2 linked regions of the Alligator mississippiensis genome follow. The protein of the gene in region 1 purifies or fractionates together with the protein of each later gene. This does not show direct contact. Links are inferred from orthologs where the notes say so. Each region holds a gene or a part of one and is shown on either strand. Other genes may lie near its edges.

Region 1 (7,302 bases):
GGAGTTAAAAACAAAACCGAACCAACCTCAGGTTCACTGCAGGGATGGACAGGCAGGGCTCACCCCAGGGCTGAGGGGGTGGGTGCAGGCACCCCTTAATTTTGGAACCAATGTTATTGGCTATGGGGCTGATAATGCCAGAGGCTAGTGCACTAGTGCTCCCAGTTGGGGGCTCAACTCCTGGGTAACTCCCATTGCACCCATGCCTGCCCAGGTAGCATCAGGGGCTGGGCTGCGAGGGCCAAGGACTGGGCTGTCACATGGGCAGTGAGGGGCAAGGCTGAGGGGATAGGTGTGGAGAGACTGCTGAGGAGCCTGCTGGGATGCGGGGGAGTAGAACTGCTGCCCCATCCCCTTGGGATCAAGTGAGCCAGGCCCAGGGGAGCCCCGGCTGTACAGCTCTGGTCCATGGCCCTGCAAGGTGTAGATCTCTCAAGCCCTGGGCCTGACTTCAACCCAAGGCCATCTCTCTACAGCATTCCTCTCTGCTCCAGGCGGGGGAGGGCACGACTAGGGCGTCTCCACAGAGCGGGGGGAGGGGGAGGAAGACACCACGAGCCCCCTCGCTCCGCACCGAGGAGCCGCCGTCGCCCAGGGCCTCGATGATACAGGCCAGGCACAGAGGCGGCGGCAGCTGCAGCAGCCAGCGCGGGTCATGGCGCGGGTGCAGCCGCTCGCAGACTAGCAGCGAAGCCTCCATGGCGCCGCACAGAGATCGGCCAAAGAAGCACCACACCAATTTGGCGGGAAAACCCTACGCATGCGTAGCTTGGTGGCGGGGAGGAGTAACTCCGCCGGGAGGGCCGAACACCTTGCGCATGCGCGGGGGGGGGGGTGGCGTGAAGTGAAGTGATCTGAGTGTTTTAGGTTCACCTTGGGCGGGCGGGAGAGTGTGTGTCAGACGGCTCTGGCGTAGACGTCCTGGTCGGTCTGTCTGTGGCACTCGCACCTGAGCCCACCACCCCAGCAGCCAGGACTAGGACCCCAAAGCACAAGGGCAGGGTGTAAAGGGCATTGGCCCATGCAGTGAAGCAGGCATCTACCCTGCAGCTCCCACAGAGAAGCAATAAGGCTCCTTCAGTAGAAGACAGGGCAGAGGAGGGAGATCTGACAGGGAAATCCAGGCGGGGGCAGAAAAGCTTCAGAGAGAGTGAGGGAAAAGAAGTAAAAGTTCCAGCAGAGCCAAGGGAAGGGAATGGGGAGGGGGCAAGGAGAAGAGAAACAGGTCCAGATGGTATTAGCTGAGGAAGTGAAAAGCCCAGAGCAGGAAATCGGTGGGAGAGGCAGAGAGAGTGTGGTGGAAAAGAAAGGGTGTGAAGATGAGAGAGGAGCTGAGAAAGCAGAGCAGGGAGACAGATGGAAAGAGACACGAAGGACTCAAAATAGTGGGTGGAAGAGGGGAAGTAATGGAGAGAGGAAGCCTGAAGAGCAGAATAACGAAGGGGGAGATAGAAACAGGAGGGCAAAAAGAACAAAACCCAAACCCTGACATGGTGTTTGCTGGCATTCTTTCAACGTAGCCTGTGTTCTATGGGTGACTCGAGCTAGAAACTGTTACATGAATTTTCAAAGCCCAGCCAACCATTTCACTCTTGGAGTAGGTAGAAATAAAGAATCCTTTGCTTAGTGCATCAGTACACTTAAGCCAGCCCTGCATTTGGTGGTAACTTGGCTACATCTACTAGTTAATCTCCTGGTGTCAGTGATTCTGTGCCCAGTGATCCAAAAGGAAGGCTCACAATACTATGTTTCTCATCAATCAGGACAGCCTAGAAATTGACTGCCCAGTGTTAAATGGCCTACAGGTTATATGTTTGTTTGGTGTAAGGAAACAAACAATGAGAGATATAACTAAGGAGGTATAACATGTCTTAGTGACTTTCTCTCTCTTCAGTACTTTAACAGATTCCACCACTGTAGCGTCTGAGTATCACACTAGTTAATATATGGATCATCAAAGCCCTCCATGAAATAAGGAGATGGTGTAATCCAGAGGTGGGCAAGATGTGGTCCGCGGGCTGGATGCGGCCCACCTAGCCATTCTATCCAGCCCATGGGGCCCCTAAAAAGTTTAGAAAATGAATATGTATCTGCCCCTGGTTGCCTGTCATATGGCCCTTGATGGCTTGCCAAAACTCAGTAAGCAGCCCTCCACACAAAATAATTGCCCGCCCCTGCAGCGTAATCCCTTTTTTAATAGACGGGCAACTGAAATTTTCTCAAAGCCACAGAGAAAGTTGGTAGCCAAGTTTGGACTTGAATCCAGGTGTCCACAAAGTTGAAGGCTGGTGGCCTAATTACCAGCTCATCCTCTCTCTCCACTTCAGGAATTGTTGCAATGGCCCTACCCACATTTGAGTATACATACTGTTCTGATTTTACGCCATGATTGGACTGTGGAGGTTTTTGCTTTCCGTTGCAGAGTGGAGTGTGGTCCTCTGCCCAGGATCTTTTGAGCATATATTGACATTTCATAGATGCAGGATGTTGGCTGTTGTGGTTTCCCTGCTTTACCCCTGGCAGGTTGAGTTAGGTCTGGGGTCAGGGTCGACAACAGTCTTATATAGAATTTAGATTATAGTTTGTATGGGATAATTTAAATATGGATGATTCTGCCTCAGGCAGGGAGTTGGACTACATGACCTCTGGAGGTCCCTTCCAGCCCTGCTTCTAGATTCTAGGATTTGTTTAATGAGTTAAACTAGTCACCCCTTTCTGGATAGGGGAGACAGAATAGAGGGGTTAAAAATATGTGAAATATCAGGATAAAGGAGGAAAAAGAAGGGGTTGCAACAAAAAGGGCGCCTCTGTGTCTCCTGAAAATACAGCAATAACTCCATTTCTAAATTGTTTTAATATGGAAACTCAGGCAGAAACTGGTAAGTAGGGATCAAGACAAACCATCATATCAACTGATACAGAACACTAGGCCTGATTTACCAATGTACTGTAGCTCTTATTTGACTTCCATGCATGACTGTTTGAAAATCAAGTCTTAGCATGTTTTATATATAAAGGGTCTTTATGTGTGTATGTGCAAGTGCATGTATTATATATACACACACTTAGTCACAGACATGAGGCTATCTCTATATACATAGGCTAAGGCTTGAGATATTTAGACATAAGGATGTGTTCAGTATGAGGGCATATTGTGTCCATTCCCCACAGCCACCCCCTGGACAGCAAGGAATTGCTCTGCACTGTATTCTTCAGGATGCTGTCACTACTGCCCACCTCCCACTTTGGGAAAGGATGCCACAGTCCAAAAGATCTCCTTGTTGGAAAAACAAGGTGAGATCCATCCAAGTTGTACCTTGCATCATTGGCTGTGTGAAGGAGCCTAGCTTTCTGTACCTCTTCTTCTTTGGCAATCCCTCATAGCCAAGGATGACTGTCTTCCATGATTGTCTTATTTGTGTGTCTGAAGATGGCTGATTAAGTTTATTTGGGATCAACAGACTCTAATGCAGCTTGGACATGTGTTTCTGTGTGGGGTGGGTGGCTCTTGATTCTTGATTTGGTCCGCAACACGCTGTTTCTGCCACTACCACATTTCCATCTCATGTTGTTGTCATGAGGTTTCAGAGCCCTGAGATCCCTGCAGCAGACTCTTCCTCCAGTTGCGGAGGTCCTGGGCAATTGTCTCCTATGAGTGGACATAGATGTTGGATTTTTTTAAGATGGCTTTGAAGACATCCCTGAAGTGCTTTCTCTGACCTCCTCTTGAGCCTAAGCCTTGACTGAGCTGAGAGAATAAAACTTGCTTGGGGAGTCTGAAGATAGACATCCAGATGATACAGCCAGCCCAATGAAGCTGATGTTGGATGGTCATCATCACCTCACTACTGGTGGTGTTTGTTTGCATAAGGACACTAACGTTGGTGTCTCTCCTTTCCCACTGGATTCAGAGGATCATCCACAGGCAGCATTGATAGTACTTCAACAACTTTAGATGTCTCCTGTACCTTGCTGTGTGAGGCAGCCTAGCTTTCTGCACTGGAAATCGAGCTCGGCTCTCACACCTCCCACACCTAAATTAAACCCCGGTTTGGCGCAGGGCGGTGAAGGGGCTGTAACTGCCAGGATTCTCTCAGCTGCAAGCAAAGCCGCGTTCTCTCCTCTTCTGTACCAGGCTCCGCTCGCGGGCAGGGAGCACCACCCACGACATTTCCAGGTGCTCAGAGGGAGGGGCTGGTATGGGGTTTTTTTTCTAATTAAAAAAAAAAAGAGAGAGCGCGCGCACGCGCACACGCTGCCTCTTTAATCCGAGATTGCCTCTACCGCCCGCCTCTCCCGGATTCTGCTCAGCCTCATTTCCGGCTGCGACTTGTCTCGCCTACGTCTGGGAGCGGCTGAACTTGTTTCTTCGCCTCCGTGAAGCTTTCGGGCCGAGAGGATCCATCCTGGCGGGAGCGGCTTGTGGGGCTCCGATTGCAGCCATGGTGAGCGGGAGCGGGCGGACACGTGCGGGCGTGGAACGTTGAGACACCGCGTTCCAGCGGCCGAACGCGAGCGCCGGGCCCCGCTGCCCCGCCAGGCCGCCGGCCCGAGGGGGGCGGGAAGGGAGGAGCGGATCCACGCAGCTCCGGGCCGGTGGGATCGGAGCTGGGCCGGCGGGCGGACACGAGGCAGGCCGCCACGTGCGTGGGTAAACAGGCCCCTAAAGCCCCACGTGGCTCCTCTGTCCCTCTGCCTCCGCATCGCGCTTCCCGCGTGTCTGTCGCGCGCATACTGAGCCTTTCTCCTCTTGTAGCTTGATCTCCCCGACCCCTAAGCGCTCTCTGTTCTGGTGCCTGCATGCACTAGCCTCACTCTCCTGCTAAGGGGGATTCTTGTTGGGTTTCCTCCCGGTGTAGGAGAGGTGAGGGGGAGTAACTACTGGTTTACTAGCTAAGCCAGTAGTTCAAAATTTTTCAACTCGGTGCAGCTGGACAGACTGGAGGCAGCCCTTGGAAAATGCTAGCTCTTGGCTTTCACTCTGAACTTTGACTCCAGGAGCATAACAGCAGTCTTTCTTTTGCAAAGAGCTGGGTTGTTGGTTGTAATCCTGTTGGTCTACGGACATAGACAAGGTTCTTTGGGTAAATCTGAAGGGACCTTGCATTTGAAATCTCTGAGCTTATGTGATGAATTGTGTTTGCAGACTTAATAGACTGTGTAGCAAGCACCCCATGGCATCCTTGAAAGGTTCACTGGTCACCCCAGGGTGCTGTGGCACCTTGGTTGAGAATTGCTGCCCAAGAGCCTTTCTCGTGTCTGTTGGCATAGAGCAGAGGTGGCCAAGCCCATGGATCAAAGTCATGTGCAGCTCCTGAAGAAACTCTTTAATGATAAATGGCTACTTGAGCTGGAACACTGTGCCAAGGTCAGGGGCTTGGGAGCACACACATTCTGAAAGTTTTGTCAAGATTTTTGGTGTATGGCTAAAAGAGTTGGGAAGTTTGGCCACCCCTGGTGTGCAGGAATACAGGGCTAGCAGTACATGGAGGCTCTATTCCCTGGGCTGGTACTGACTAGGAATGATAACAGTGCAAGAAGCTGACAACTTTTTTTTCCTGCTTCCTTGCTTATGAAAGAGAGCATGCAAGGAAACTTGTAGCAACATCTGTCTTGTATTGTGCTTTTGGGGTATAGCTCTCAGGGCCTAGGCCTGACATGGCCAAGATCATCTGGTGGCAGGAGACCAGGACCTCTGATGCCCTAGTCCAGTGCTTCATAAATTGGGTTGTTTAACTTGCATACCTATCACTGAAGTACATCTGGGGTGGAACTGGTATGCAATATGGGACAATATTGTATAGGGGGAAATTTTGATCAAGGATCCAAGGGAAAACCATTTTTACAGGTAAATGGTGGGATCCCCAGTGTCAGTGCCAAACACAGGACCACAGTAGTGTGTTTCATCCAGAGGAGCCATGAACAAACATCCTAAAAAAAAAAAAGGCTCACTTGATCCTGGCAGGACTTGAACCTCTGGTTCTGAGTTCAGATATTAGTATTCCAAGCAAAGCTTCCCTCTGTCCCCTTCTGTAACTTTGATTTCCTTTCTCTAGAGTGAGGCAGAAGTGAACCCCAAAGCTTACCCTCTGGCTGATGCACAGCTCACCAAGACACTGCTGGATCTTGTACAGCAGTCTTGCAACTACAAACAGCTACGCAAAGGTGCCAATGAAGGTAAAGTCTGACCTTTAGGAAACTTACTAGCACTGCTAACATTAACAAAAAAAGGGTTTACTAAACTAGGAGTTGTGGGTGGTGGTTGTCTTCTACCTATGGATTTTGCTTTAGATGTTTGGTAATTCCCCCTACTCCTGGATCTCAATATATATCTTCTCCATTTGTGCAATGAGAAGGTTTCCCGTTTGATTAAATGGTCTAATGGAAATAAAACTAACCTGAGAGAAATTGTATGGCTTCTCTGTGCTCCTCTGATAGCTGGAGAAAAGTGTATTCTTGGTATATAGTAGAATCCAGATACCTGGCAGGGTAAGATTTCTAAACCCCTTGTGAAGATGAGGGCTTGCAAGCTATCTAGGAGCATGTATAGCTGCAGTATACACTACGCACAGCTGTTGAAGTGCTCCATCAGCTTGCTACAGCTTTTACATTGCAGAATGCTGTTTCTCTAATTAGTTGCATGCAACTGCAGTGATGCTCTGCTGAATAGAGGAACAGCACATTTTCATGTAAAAGGTATAGCAAACAATTCATGGCTCACTCTTAGTTTAGCAACTAGCTGCTAGCTAAGTGAGTTACAAACCACATTACAGCATCAGATGAAGTATGTTGTTGCCTAGGAAAATTCACCCCTGTCTGAACCAGTTGGTCTCTTCAGGCAGTGATTCTTGACCCCTTGAGAGACCCCTTAGAAAATGCCAGTTCCTCATTTTCACTCTTATTTTTCTGTAATAAAAAACAAGAAAACAGAGTAGTTCTTTTGCTGCAAAGAAATCAGACCACAGTCAGTCAGATTGTTTTTGACACTATAGATTGCTGTTTGAAATCTCTGGGTTTATCTTGTGAATTATGTTTAGGTGTTTGCATGCCTGCTGATATCTTGCAGCAGCCTTAAAAGAATCTCACAGAACCCCCCTAGTGCCACAGCAGCTTGGTTGAGAATCACTGCCTTGAGGTGCCACACTGCCTTATGCCTACCACTTCCCCAGACCACCCAAAAAAGAATGATCTGGCTTCTAAATATGGGGGGGGTTGACTGTAGAAGGTGACCAGCTGGCTTATCAACATTGCATTCAAAGACTTTTCTATATTGTCCATTGCACCAATGCATAAAAAATAATA
Region 2 (8,010 bases), on another chromosome or scaffold:
GAGAAGGCATGCTCATTACCTTGATGGAGATAACAAAGTGGCCGCCGTTCTTCAGGAAGTTGTGCGCGTTGAGGGCGACAATACGGGACTGGTCAGGCTGCGCCACATCGGCAAAGATCACATCCACCATGCCTGGAGGGGGGGCATGGTTGTGAGTCATGACCCAGAGATCAGGGGACGCTGTGATCCCCCAGCAAATCAACTACACCCCCCCCCAACTCCACCTGTCTTGTGATATCAGCACTGGGAAAGGAAACCCAGTTGTCAGGGGAGAGGCAGGTCCCTGAACAGCACGGGTAGGAAGACCCTGTGCACAGACGAGCCTCAGTAACAGCAGGAAAAACCCAGGAATTTGGAGCCCCCAGAGGAGCCCTGACAGGCCGACCCCAAGCCTGGCCAGGCCTCAACAGCGACTGCAGAGAATCCAGGCATCCAGGGGGGTCTTAGGAGCCCCGACTGGCAGATGCCATGCCCGACTGAACTTTAGCAGCAGGAGAGAATCCAGGAGTCTGGGGGCTCCCAGGGAGCCCCAATACAAAGACCCCGTGCCTGGTCAGGCTTCAGCAGTGGCTGCAGAGAACGCAAGTGTCCAGGGGGAGGTGGGGGAAGGGGGTCTCAAGGATCCCCAGTACAAAGACCCGAAGACCAGCTAGACTTTCACTACAGCAACAGAGGACTCTGGAGTCTGGGGGCTCCCAGGACACCCCTCTGCCCCGGGGAAAGCCAATGGCAGGGCCCCCCTGAGTGCAGCCGGACCCCAGGGGAGAACGACTGGCAGGGGGAGGTAGGAGGAGTCAAGGGGGGGAGGGGACCTAGGGGGGACTCACCAATCAGCATGCGGTATTTGTGGGGGTGCCGGGCATCCTCTATGACGGGGATGATGTTGGTGCGTTTCTTGGCCACGTTGATGAGGTCACGGCCGGAGCGGTGGGAGAACTCCACAGCGTAGACCAGGCCTTCCTGGGGGGGCGCATGGGGTTAAGCTGGAGGGGGGGGTAATCCCTTTTGCCCCCTCGCCTCCCCCCCCCCCCCCATCCAGGGTAGGGGGTCCCAGTACTTACGGGGCCCACAATGTCCGAGACATGGGAGACGGTGGTGCCTGAGGCAGCGCCCAGGTACAGCACACGGACGCCCGGCTTGATGTGGATCTGGTCGATGCCCCCCAGGATGGCGGCTGCCAGCTTGGAGCGGAAGGGGTTCCAGGCCCGGTACTCCACCTTGGCCTCGCCATCCTGCCCAGCGGTGGGAGAGGGAACAAATCAGGGCTGGGGGGGAGGGAGTCTGCTCAAACCTTTCCCCAACCCCTGGGGCCTTCTGAGGGCCCTTTCACCCCAGCTTGGACTCCTGGGTACCAAGATGCCTCCTGGATCGGCCCCTGGAAGTGGTGTGCCCAGTGCCCTCTGGGACCCAGTAGCCTAGCCTTTCTGCCCCCCACATAACCACTGGGGGCCCCCCTCCCAGAACCAGCCCCCTCGACACCACCATTCAAACCTCCCCCTACCCCAATGCCCCCATCCTGATCCCCATCCCCACCACATCCCTCTTGACACTCCCATCCAGACACCTCCACCCGCCTTTGATCCCCTTCCCCCCCAGGCTCTGCGTACCTCCACCGCAATCCTCTTCTCCCCATACACTGACTCGCCCGGCACCAGGTTCTTGGTCACGAGTGCATCTTCCTTGCCCCGGCAAATGAAGACCCCTAGAAGGGATTACGAATGGGGAGGGGGTCAGAGCCAGAATAGCACCCCCCCATGGTCCCACCCACCCCAGGCTCCAACCCAAGCCCCGCCAAGGTGTCCCTACCCCCCAGCGCCAGCCCCTGCCCCAGACTCCAGTACCTTCGTGCCTGTGGGGCTCCACTGTCACCTTCTTGCCCCCTCTGAAGCCCCCCCGGCCCCCACCCCGCCCCCCACCACGGCCGCCCCGGCCAGGCCCTCCTCTTCCTCGGCCGCCAACACCTCCTCGGCCAAAACTGCCACCTGGGAAAGAAAAGGGGGAGAAGGATGTGGTCCAGTGTGGGCAGGACCCTGCAGCAAGTAGGGGAGTGTGGACGGGGGAGTCTTTTGCGATAGTAAGGATAGTAAATGGGGTCCCAGCCTTTTGGGACAGGAAGTGGAGGGGCAGGGGGAGCCGTTTGGGACAGGAAGTGTGGGGTGGGGCCTGGCTAAGATGAAAACGAGAGGGGGCAGCAGAGTCCCACAGCAGGGCAACCCCTGAGCCTGGCCCTCTGCCCCAAAGCTTGATGGGACAGCTGACCAGATTCTCCCAGCACGAACCAGGAGTGGATGGGGGAGAATGTAACTCACCTCTGCCTCCCCGGAAGCCACCGCGTCCCCCTCCACGGTCCCCGAACCCGCCGCGTCCCCCTCCACGGTCCCCGAACCCGCCGCGTCCCCCTCCACGGTCCCCGAACCCGCCGCGTCCCCCACGGGGGCTGAAACCTGTGGGTGGAAAGGAGGGGGGGAGGTCAGACATGCCCCCCTCCCCCCCACCAAGTCCATCCCTCACGCAAGCCCCCCTCCCCAATGCTCCCCCCTCAACTCCTAGGTCCCCCCAATGTCACCTGCCCCACATGCCCCCAGCCCCTTTGACTTCCCAGACATATAAGGACCCCCCCAGTACCCCACCACCTCCAAGCCCCATCAACTATCCTTACTGGGGGGGAGGGGCTCAGCTGGGGGGTGTTATCCCCCCACACACCCTCAGTCTGCTGCCCACCCCAACCTGATCCAAGCCCCCCCCCCGGAACCCCGGAGTCCTGCCCCCAGTGAATAGGGGGCTCCGAGCTTGGGGGGGCTGCCCAGCTACAGTCCCCCCCCGCAAGGCTGAGAAGGCAGGCGTCCCGGGATCGCGTGGGGGGGCTCCCCCCCCGGCAGCAGCTGCAAGGACCCGCCCCCCCCGCCCCGCGCTCACCGGGCCTCATGCTCCCACGTGCGCTCCCCGGGGCCGGACCACGCTGGATTCGGTGCTGGCTGGCGCGGGGCGCGATGCGCATGCGCGGGCGCCCGGAGCGCCCACACCGGAAGTTGGCTTCGCGGCCCGCGGTGACGTCAGCGGAAAGACCAGAGGACGTGCTTGCGGGGCGGGGGAGGGGGGGCGATTTTTGTGGCGTCACATTTGTCTCTCTCTCTCCCTGTGACGTCAAGTAATTTGTCTTTGGACCGCTCTGGGGTGTGACGTGGTGCTAGACTGTGAGGTTAGCCTTCCCCGTGACGTCACAGGATGAAAGTTTTTCTCAACTTTAGATCTGTGCTGTCTGATGTCAGCTCTCTGGGGGAGGTCAGGTGTCTCCTGTGATGTCACAGGGTGAAAGGTGGCTGAGGGAAGGCAGTGTCATGCAAGGACGTCAGATCCGTGAGGTCAGCTCTCTGGGATGTCACATGATAGCTGATGTTTCTTGTGATGTCAGCTCTCTCTGTGATGTCATAGGACAAAAGTTCTGTCAGAAGAGGCAGCTTTCTCTGCAGTGTCCTGTGACATCACTTCTCTGGTGTCAGCTCTCTGGGATGTCCCACGATGTCAGGTGTCTCTTGTGATGTCACCTCTCCTTGTGATGTCATAGGATGAAAGAAAGGTCTCTTGGGGAAGGCCATTTTCTCCGCGGTGTCAGGTGGCGTCAGATCTGTTATGTCCTATGCCATCAGCTGTTGGGTATCACGTGACATCAAATATTTCTTGGGATATCAGCTCTCTCTGCGTTGCCATATGACATCAGTTCTGGGATGTCACACGGCATCGGGTCTCTGCTATGTCCCATGTACTCAGCTCTCAGCCCAATGTCAGATTCCCATATCAGCTGTGACATTGTGCCGTTCGCATGTGATGTCAGCCCTCTCTGTGACATCACATGGTGTCGGGTCTGTCCACTCTGCTTTCTGCTCCCCACCCTGTGCTCCCTACCCCTTCCACTGCTCCGTTTTCCGCTCCATGCCCTGTTCTCCCTTCCCCATCAGCTGCTCTGCTGTGTGCTTCCTGCCCTGTGCTCCCTGCCCCATCCACTGCTCTGCTTTCCACTCCCTGCCCTGCGCTCCCTGCTCCACGCGCTGCTCTACTTTCTGTTCCCTGCCCTACGCCCCCTGCCCCTTCCACTGCTCTGCTTTCTGCTCCCTGCCCTGTGCTCCCTACCCCATCGGCTGCTCTGCTTTCTGGTTGGATTCAAGGCAGTTACCACAACGTAGGAGTTGATGGCATTTGTCTACCGTGTAGTGAGCATGTTTGTTACTCCCCTGAAAGAGAATAGTTTTCTGATAGCATACTGTTAGGTTAGCAATAATTTAGATTATTAAGAAGTATTAGCTTTGCAGCTGAATATAAGGCATGACCTGTGGCCTAGCAATGCCGCTAACCACAAGGCAGAATGATAGCTAAGCCTTTACTTGTGTCAAGTAATCATTTTAACTGTGTTAAGCATTTTCTGAGTAAAATGCAGCAAGTGAATCTGTGTCTGTGCTGTAAAATCAGCTACAGCAAGGAACAAGATAAGACAAAAAAGTCATTGTTCTAAATACAGTGATCGTGTCCTTAAAAAGCATCTACCACTGCAAATTCTTGCTAACGTATCATAATGTTACTGTTACTTAACTTTTAGCTTTTAAAAAATGCTAGTTCAGCTTAATAAAAATATGCTGTTATAAAGATTTGTGAAGCACCACCCAAGTAAGTATTGCTTTTATTAACCCTGTAGTCTTGCCTTGTTATAAAAAGTATAAAAAATTGCCCCACCCTTTAGGGGGGGCCATTTTGCCTTTTGCTGGCTTTATGATCTTTGCTCGAACAAATAAATAGCTGTCAATTCTTTACCCGCGTTGTCTGATACCTATTACAGCTAAATAACAAACTTTAGGGAGTTTCCTCCCACCACATAAGCAAGGCAGGGTAGGGTTAAGGGATGAGATGTCATGTGTCCATACTTCTACACCACTACCGAGTCTGGGCAGCTCTTTGAATAGCTCCTGCTAAAGTGGAGCCCAGCCAAAGACTTGCAATGATTGGTCCAATATGCAGCAGAGCGCCAGGCCAAGAGTTGCATAATATAGCCAGGGAGAAAGTCCAGCTGTTGGCTTCTGTGATCCAAACATCATTGCTACATTCCCCAAAGGACCTTCCAGATCATCCGTTGAGACCCCCCCCCAGGCTTGAGCATACAAAATAATAACCTAAGCCTGATTCCCCTTTAATTAATTATCCAACAGCATGAGATCACTATTCCAGGGAAGAGTTCGGGATCCTCAAAGAGCAGTGCCCTCCGACTGACTGAAGAGAGTTCAGTTGAAATCTGAGAGCAGATTTAGGCTGGACATTAGAAAGAACTTCTTCACAGTTAGGGTTGCCAGAATCTGGAATGGGCTTCCAAGGGAGGTGGTGCTCTCCCCTATCTTCAAGAGGAGACTGGACATGCACCTAGTTGGGGTCGTCTGACCCCAGCGCTCTTTCCTGCCCAGGGCAGGGGGCTGGACTTGATGACCTACTGAGGTCCCTTCCAACCCTAACATCTATGAATCTATGAAACACTGACCCGGTCGATGCACTCGTTCAATGGTTCCCAACTTTCTTTAGACTCTAGGCCCTTCTCTGTTACCTCCAGGCTTCCTCGTTTGAAAGGTACCTCTCGTTAGACTCCAGGGCCCCCTTGGAAAAAGAAAGCTCTTCACTTTCACTCATTTCTAGACTATGAAGAAAATCCTAAAATGATTCTTCTGTTGCAGAATACTCAATGAACTCCCAGTTTCGCAACCAGGATAACTCTCGGGGCTTTGAGTGTATCCGGAGAAGTACAAGAAAATCCAAAGCAAGTTCCTCTGAACCGTGCACCGCTTTATTGGGATATTATCAATCTGGCAATGTGAGCAAGAGCAGCTCCATAAAGCAGAGAATACATGGACACACTTGCTGCCAGGTGGTGAGGCCTCAGGCCCTTCAGAATCCGTCCTTAGGGCACGTTCCAGACTCCCACCCCATCCACTCCACTTTGGTGTGGAGGAGTTTGATACAGTTCAGATTCAAATTTCTGTATTCACATGCTTTTCTGTGAGAGAACAATCTCCTGGGCAGTGGAGTAGAGACCTGGGAAACTGAGTCATGGCTCGGTTGTTCTTTCCTTCATAGCATTGGGTGTGATTGTTGGCTGGCATGTCTCAACTCCCTTGGTCACCAGCTGTCTTCTCTCACTTGCTGGTGGCTGGCATTCAGACTGAACTGCTCCTGGGATCAGGCTATCTGCAAGCAGGAATGTAGTGAGCCACTGACCACAGCAGAAAGGAGTGAGGGGTGGTTCAGGACCCCACAACGCTGGCAGAGGAGGGAGGGAAAAGAAACCTTCTGAGACAAAAGGACTGGATGGTGCTACTGTCTCACACCACAGAGAAGGGACAGAAAATAGAGAGAGAGGCAAAGAGTTAGGACAGAAAGCTAATGGCCTCCCGGGCTGCATTAGTAGGAGTGTGGCCAGTAGATTGATGGAAATGATTCTCCCCTTAATATATTCAGCACTGGTGAGGCCACATCTGCAGTCCCGTGTCTAATTTTGGGTCCCCCACTACAGAAAGGATGTGGACACATTGGAGAGAGTCCAGTGGAGAGCAACAAGAACGGTGAGGGGGCTGGGAGACATGATTTATGAGGAGAGGCTGAGGGAACTGAGCTTATTTAGTCTAGAGAAGAGAAGACTGAGTGGGGATTTGACAGCAGCCTTCAACTCCCTGAAGGGGGTTGTAAAGAGGATGGAGTTGGACTGTTCTCAGTGGGGGCAGACGACAGAATGAGGATCAATGGGCTCCAGTTGCAGAGAGGGAAGTTGAGGTTAGATATTAGGAAGAATGTTCTCACTAGGAGGGTGGTGAAGCACTGGAACAGGTTACCCAGAGAGGTGGTGGAGTTTCTATCCTTGGAGGTTTTGAAGACCCAGCTAGACAAGCCTTGGCTGGGATGATCTAGTTGGGGCTGGTCCTGCTTAAAGCAGGGGGTTGGACTCGATGTGACCTCCTGAGGTCCCTTCCAACCCTCATGTTCTATGATGCTATGACAGCTAACCCTGGACAAAGAGCCAGGACCCCTAGTTCTAGTGGGATCCTCCAGGATCTTCCCTCACTACACATTTGTTCAGAGTCCAGCATGGTGGGCTCTGATCCCAGCTGCACATGGGGCTGGTTCTGGCCCAGGGATCTGTACAGGGCCTGGTCAGGCCCCAATCCCAGCTAGGCCAGTGGTTGAGATCTACAAGTTGCTCGAGATCTACAGAGCACCTAGTCAGAGCCCCAAGTGATAGAAACTTTGATGCCAGTCGATACAGCCGGGCCCATATCCAAGGGACTGGATATTTAATAGAAGCCTTCTCCAGGTGGGCTGAAGGTGCTGGAGAAGTCTGCTGAAGATCAACAACTCCCATGATGAAATCTCTGTCAGTACTAGCTGCCTTCCCTTGACACGTGGTCCAAGAAAAGCATTGTTTGTTGATGTATTATCGCAAAAGTGTTGTCCTTGGGTAAGATTCAGGTAGTTCCTGCCCCCACAGCAACCTCACACCCTTCTGAATTATACCGGGCTTGCATATTCCCACCCCTATGGCTTGGTAGAGATAGGGCATTACAGCCGTGGGGGGAATTCCATGGCAAGGACCTAGCTTGATTTAATGGGAAATGCATTGTTGAATTCCCCTGGCAACTGCCATTGTTTGGGGTTCATGAACTATGGAGATAATGTGTTTCTGATCACTTCTCCTCCTGCAGTGCTTTCAGGTCAAGAGCCTAGCCAACTTTCAGAGCTGATGGGTTCCTTGGAATGTCCTGAGATTGTAAAAAATGACTTCCTTGGCTCTGAGCCTTGGAAGTCTGGGTGAAAAGTATTGCATAATTCAACTTGTCATGGGTAACATGAAGAAAAGCTCTCATCCCTAAGGAGGGGGCAGGAGCAGAGGACAGCGGTTGTGAAATTTCTCTCCTCCAGCTGAGATCTATCATGAATTGTTTGCCTCCTGTCTTCATCCTGACAATGTCTCTGGGGAATTTTCCA

The links.
Region 2: the proteins of SNU13 (region 1) and FBL purify together in Homo sapiens (affinity purification with mass spectrometry; 5 studies listed by BioGRID and IntAct, with this or other methods). This does not show direct contact. The link is inferred for Alligator mississippiensis from reciprocal best matches to the Homo sapiens genes SNU13 and FBL.

What each region holds. Positions count from the first base shown.
Region 1 is NC_081827.1:97,064,441-97,071,742, forward strand, and holds the start of SNU13 (NHP2-like protein 1), read left to right. Parts: upstream 1-4,292; 5' UTR 4,293-4,442; coding exon 4,443-4,445; intron 4,446-6,056; coding exon 6,057-6,177; intron 6,178-7,302. Other genes in the region: MEI1 (meiosis inhibitor protein 1), read right to left, coding at 575-700.
Region 2 is NC_081838.1:29,164,492-29,172,501, forward strand, and holds the start of FBL (rRNA 2'-O-methyltransferase fibrillarin), read right to left. Parts: upstream 3,015-8,010; 5' UTR 2,999-3,014; coding exon 2,917-2,998; intron 2,445-2,916; coding exon 2,310-2,444; intron 1,983-2,309; coding exon 1,842-1,982; intron 1,703-1,841; coding exon 1,608-1,702; intron 1,233-1,607; coding exon 1,062-1,232; intron 961-1,061; coding exon 828-960; intron 133-827; coding exon 20-132; intron 1-19.